Oryzias latipes: one gene and its partner. The protein of the gene in region 2 binds, or shares a complex with, the protein of the main gene of each other region. Links are inferred from orthologs where the notes say so. Each region holds a gene or a part of one and is shown on either strand. Other genes may lie near its edges.

The links. Proteins that work in one complex are often made in the same cells at the same time.
Region 1: akap17a (region 2) and ppp1r8 share a complex: the UniProt entries of both Homo sapiens proteins name them as parts of the spliceosome. The link is inferred for Oryzias latipes from reciprocal best matches to the Homo sapiens genes AKAP17A and PPP1R8.

What each region holds. Positions count from the first base shown.
Region 1 is NC_019874.2:22,802,865-22,806,624, reverse strand, and holds the start of ppp1r8 (nuclear inhibitor of protein phosphatase 1), read left to right. Parts: upstream 1-1,177; 5' UTR 1,178-1,224; coding exon 1,225-1,277; intron 1,278-1,722; coding exon 1,723-1,783; intron 1,784-1,895; exon of another isoform or gene 1,896-2,034; coding exon of another isoform or gene 2,035-2,052; exon of another isoform or gene 2,053-2,060; intron 2,061-2,121; coding exon 2,122-2,275; intron 2,276-2,725; coding exon 2,726-2,943; intron 2,944-3,264; coding exon 3,265-3,409; intron 3,410-3,760. UniProt on the Homo sapiens protein: Inhibitor subunit of the major nuclear protein phosphatase-1 (PP-1). It has RNA-binding activity but does not cleave RNA and may target PP-1 to RNA-associated substrates. May also be involved in pre-mRNA splicing.
Region 2 is NC_019879.2:18,190,383-18,192,778, reverse strand, and holds part of akap17a (A-kinase anchor protein 17A), read right to left. Parts: intron 1,963-2,396; coding exon 1,750-1,962; intron 853-1,749; coding exon 704-852; intron 422-703; coding exon 181-421; intron 86-180; coding exon 1-85. UniProt on the Homo sapiens protein: Splice factor regulating alternative splice site selection for certain mRNA precursors. Mediates regulation of pre-mRNA splicing in a PKA-dependent manner.

The DNA.
Region 1 (3,760 bases), on a different chromosome or scaffold from region 2:
TGTCTGCACCCCCTCTTTATGGATCCAGCTCACAGCGCTTTTCTGAAAATGTCTATCATCCTTTCTGAAAGTTCACTTCTGCTTCAGCTTTACACTTTATGCCATCTGTAAACAAAACTTTTACCATCTCCAGCTGACTAACAGAGGTCAACGCTGAACATATTTTTTTATTTAAAACATAGAACTCTAAATGGATCCAAGAGAGTCAGTTAATTTGAGGTAACCCCCCCCCCCCTTCCACCCACCTCAGGCCTGACCAAAAAAGCAAAAACCAGAAGGAGTTCACCCACTCACAAGCAGAAATAGATACAGACACAACTTCAAGCCCCCCAACACAGAATCCCACACATGTTGACCAATCATTTATTTCCAAGAAAATGTTTCCATTTTCAAATTAAGAGTTTAGAGACCTCTAGTGGTCTTTTGTAATTGAATTCTTCATGTTTATTAGGCAGCTTTACAAAGAAACATGCAAATCAAATAAAAAATTACTTGAATTATAACTGTTTTTGTTTGTTTGTTTTTCAAAATATAATATGATAATGTTTTTCATTAGTTAAGTATTTAAAAGTTACTCCCAAACCACTCATCATCTTGAAAAGAAACATTAAACATACAGTACAGACCAAACGTTTGGACAAACCTTCCCATTCATTTGAATGAGAAGGTGTGTCCAAACTTTTGGTCAGTACTGTAGTAAGAAGAACATCTTTCCTATGGGATAGATGGGGAGGCATGTGGTCGAGGGTTCTGCTGTGTAAACCATGAAGAGAAAAGAGAAAAGCTAACAAAAAAAGTCATTTTTGTCATCAAATATTTTTTATAACTTTTTCTGAGTCCCATTACAGGACTGTTGTGAAATTAAAATTAATGACATTATTATTAAAATTAATCTGTATATTTTTAATTAAAATATTACATTTTCTATGAATGGATTTAACACAAGTAAATCAAAATTGAACTTTTTTTGTTAATAAATCTTACAGTGCAATTAAGTTTTAAGTGAAGATCATTTGCCAAAAAAAAAAAAAAACTATTTCAAAAGTTTTACTAAAAAAGAATAATTCCCTGTATCCTGTACAAATCTGACGAATATTGCAATATGGTAAAATTATTATTAATATTATTACTCTTACTATCATTATTATCTCTGAACGACAACTCCCGACATCCCAATGTTTTGTTTACCCAGCATGCATTTTGGTTGCAATATGCTAAAGCAAGATGGCGACTAAAACAGGCAAAGACGGTCCTCCGCCTTTTGATTGTCCATCATGGTGAGAAAACTTACTTATTGCAGAACAAACTAGAAATTTGTAACGCGTTGCTGGATGTGCATTTGCAAAGCTATTTGACCTGTTCATTTGTGCCTTTTAATGCTAAGTAGAAGTCTGTAGTTGCAGTTGCTAACATTAGCTAGGTTAGCATGGTAACCCTTAGCGTTGTTGGCGTCAATTAACCAGAAGGGCTAGAAATTATTTATTCGAACGGGGAAAGCCGTGTTCTTTGTATGAGTAGAATTCACGTCCAGATCAATTAAAAATAATTATTATTATAAATGTGGAAAATATTTATCTTTAAAATATTTATTCTTGAAATAGCTAGCGCGGAGAGAAACATGTAAAAGACATTTGAATTCATTTATTGTAACATTAATTTGTGCATGATCCATGTTTGTTTGTTTTCCCTAAATATTGACAGTAGTTGATCGTCTGTTTACAGGGCAGGCAAACCCCCCACGGGGCTTCATCTTGACGTAATGAAGGGAGACAAACTGATAGAGGTAATAATTGAATGAAAATGTGCAGATGTTGGTCCTGTTATGCAGTAATATGACTGCTTATTCTGCTTTTGTGCCTTACTGTTGTTAAATCATGTATCGTGTAAGTCCATACATGCACCCATACACGAGCCTGACAGTCTGCTCTGTCCCTGATGTTTGAACATCAGGACAGGTCTGTGGCTGCATGGCTTCCAACGGTGCTACAGCAAAATCAGCCGTGAGGTTTAAGCTGATCAGTGGAAGCGACACTGATGAGTTATGACTCAGAGGTACACCTGTACTGTTGAAGCCATACTTTATGTGTGACTGACAGAAAAAACATTCTCTCTTTTCTATAGAAATTGATTATTGATGAGAAGAAGTTTTACCTTTTTGGGAGGAACCCCGACTGGTGTGACTTCACCATCGACCATCAGTCATGTTCCCGTGTTCATGCTGCCTTAGTCTACCACAAACACCTAAAAAGACTCTTCCTTATAGACCTCAACAGCAGTAAGGGATCGCTTTTAGTCCTACCTTTGTATTTGATTTATATTGTTGGAAGAAAGAAACGGTACACAAAGCAGAATGCAATACTGAAGCATTTTAATCATTTAGGAATTGAATACATTCTGCCATCACGTTTGATACATTTACGAATATTAAATCATATGAATAGAGTTAAAAGGATCACCACAGCTTCAACATCCATACACATTTTGTTTGTTTGTATTTCATGTGTTGTGATGAAATCACGGATCGTATCACTGAAAAATTTAGATTTGATCAACTTTCTGACTTTAAAGCAAATATCTTTCCCAATTGCTAAAAGAGTTGGAGTGTACGGTGGTGGTAAAAATTGCATCTTGTTTTGTTGTAGTATTGTTTCATTGTTATGACAGTGTTGCGTTACCTCTTTATTTTATTCTTTTGGGAAACCTTATTTGATTGTTACCCTTTCAGCACATGGTACTTTCCTTGGACACATCCGCCTCGAGGCCCACAAGCCTCAGCAGGTTCCTATAGACTCCACTTTAGCTTTTGGGGCTTCCACGCGAACGTATATCATCAGAGAGAAACCCCAAACCCAAGGCAGCACTAGCACAGGAGACAATAAGACGGGAGATGACGAGGAGCTCAAAGGACTTCTAGGTCTTCCAGAAGAAGAAACAGAGTTAGATGTACGTTATGTTTTCTGATCAATCTTGTTTTCATCTCTGTTTATTCCAGTCTTTTTGCCTGTTGATTCTTGAACTCTGGCTAAATTTGTCAAACTACTAAAGTTTAAGATTTGCTTGTTTGCTTTTATACAAATAGACCTGCATATTTTACTTTGACCATGTGTGCATGGTCAAAGTAAAAGTAAAAGTAAGTAGTGGCAAGGTTTAGTTTCAGAATACTACTATGTTTTTTCCCACTTATGAATCCTTTAATCCCGTCTACCGGTTGGTTGAAATGTTGTAGCCGCCTTACAAATGTTTGTGGTTTCTGAATCCTGTCAGAATCTGACAGAGTTCAACACAGCTCACAACAAGCGCATCTCGCTATTGACCATTGAAGAAGGCAACCTGGAAATCCAAAGACCTAAAAGGAAACGCAGAAACTCCAGAGTCACCTTCAGTGAAGAGGACTCCATCATTAACCCAGGTACTTACCAGTGTAAAAAATAAAAAACTTCATTTATGAACTTCTTGTTTTTAATCATAGCTGTTTTCACCTCTTGAGACAGGATGAATATTTTTTTGGTAGATTTCCTGTGGACTAGTTCTTTATATATATATATATAAGTTTATGTACTGGTAAATAGTTTTTTGTTTTTTTTGGGGGGGGTGTGTAGTTAATTTCCCTTTTTATTAAAGCACAGTCAAATAATTCTGTCAATGTTGCTTTCTAAAGATATACACCCAAATTTTAGTTTATGAAAAGGCTGAAAAATATTTGTAAAATACATTGATATTACTTTTGCAGTTGTGTCAAAGTGTGTCTATTCCATGTTAT
Region 2 (2,396 bases):
ATTCCTCCTTTTGTCTGGCCTGCTCCTGTCGCTCTTGCTTCTCTCGTTCCGCCTTTTCTTTTTCCTCCTGATGCTGTTTGAGTGTCTGAAGGGAAGGACGAGACATAAAGAAAACCATCTGTGCTGTCAAAACAAGGGCTGTGAAACTCCGGAGGGGGAAAACCTGTGCGAGTTTCATACCTTGGCTCTGGCCAGCAGCTCAGCAACGAGACGTAAGGATTCCAGGTTGCGCTGAGCCAGCAGCAGCCTCCTCTCCTCCATCGCGATCTTCATCTGCAGCTTCTTCTGCTCCTCCTCCTGCTGCCGCCTGACCTTCTTCACATTCCTCCTTTCCTCCTTCTCCCGTAGCTTTTGCTCCCGCTTCCTTATCCTCTCTTCTCTTTTTCTCTCCTTTTCCTCCTCCTCCATCTTTTTCAGTTTCCTGAAAAAGCAATCAGTGACACGGATATAACCCTGTTTTTGGTGAAAGTAGACTGAATTCTAAGAGGGAAAAGAAAAACTACAATTTCCTGTTCCTGTTCAGGAGAAGATGAGGGTAAATATTTTCTTAAAATTAAAATTAAAAAAAAGCAGAAGGAAGAAATGCAAATACATTTTTTGACATAAGGTTGCATGTGAATTCATTTACTTTTGTGTTTAATGTGGCCATACTGAAGCCTCACCAGTCTAGATGAACTGACCATTCCCCTGTTTTTTACCATACCTCTCTTCCTCCTTTCGCCTCTCCTCCTCTTCTTTCTCTCGTCGTTTCTGCTCCTCTCTCTGCTTCTCCAGCTCCTGCAGCTTCAGCCGCTCCAGGTTCCTCTTCTTAATGGCCGCGTCACTAAGGTGTTTGCTGGTGTCGAACGTCACCTGAAAGGAATAAAAACCACATTTAACATCATTTAACGATAAATATGACTGTTGTGTGTTTGCTAACCGAGGAGTTTTGGGCATTTATGTACCGGTACCTGCAAGAAACTAAAAGATGTCCGCCTTGATGAAATGTTGAAGTATGAGACCAAGAACATTCAAACTTTGGCATTTGAAAACAAATATATGCATTTCATTATCTGTAATCAAAGTTGCCTTTTCTGGGGTCTTACATCAGTTTAAATCCCACAGCTTTAGTCTCTGGATTAAACCACTTCAGTCTGCCGCCAGCAGAACCTCAGAGATACTGATGACACAGCTTTCATTCTGATGGCAGTGAAAGGTCTTAAGCTACTCTGTCACTCAGACCAGAACAATCTCTTTGATTCAGCCTGCAAATGTTCATCATCACTGCAAGAGCTGCATTTAATCAGTCATGTCACAAAATAAGGAATCATTAAAAATAAACAGCTTTTGAAGTAAAACCAAGACTTTCACTCAAAAATGATTTACGGTATCGTAGACTTTTAGATATTTATGGAGCTTAGGTGATAAGTCCTTCATATCATTTAAAAACTCCAAAAAGAAAAGCCTTTCAGTCATTTATTTGCTTACATGGAGGTGAAAACACCCACTAAGTTGTGTTTAAGTACAATAGACATGAAATTAGCTATAAATGTGTACATGAAGTAGCCATTAGGGGGGTTTCTCAACCCTTCTGGGTAAAGAGGACAGCCTCTAACACCAGACTCTCAAAATAGGACAATTCCATTCTATGATGCGCAGTGATTTACAAATATTTAGCAGAAAATAAAAGAGCTGAAGCCAAAGTAGCTCATTTAAAGTGTGCTCATGATTGTAGGGTAAAGAAGTTCTCTACATTTGAAGATAGAGTACCTTGATGTTGCAGGCCACTGCCTTTCCATCCTCTCCTTTCAGCATCAGCTTCATGCCGCGGAGCGTATCCATGGCTTTTGTGAAGAAGCCATACTCCTGATACTGGACAAAAGCTTCAAAGTTTAGGTGGCCTCCAAAGCTGAAGGTACTGAAGTTTTTGTCCATCATCTCCTCCCTATAAGGGTCCAGCATGGGGATGTCAACATTGCGCACCTACAAAAACAAGATTACACAATATTTCTGGTTTATTAGTTGAACCTTAAAATAACTTTGATCGTCTTAAGAATAAAAGAAATAGTGAAGCAACTAGATTCAAACAAATGGAAGGGATAACTCCTTCAAAATGAGTTTCATTTAGTCATCCAGTCAACACATGCAGGCAGGCATAGACATTGCCTGAATAAAAAGAAGCTTCATAAAAACTATAAGAACTTCAATCAGTACTTTCTTGGATGATAATCCTATTTGGTGAATAAATAACCGCCTAATCGGTTAATCACCAAAAATACATTTGATGTAAAAATGAATATTTCATTCTATCTACCACCAAACTTTTATACTGTGGCAAGTAGAGGATCCAGATTAGATCAAGGCATTTTAACCATAATTTCATCTGGATTCTTTAATTGCCACAGTAAAAATGTTTT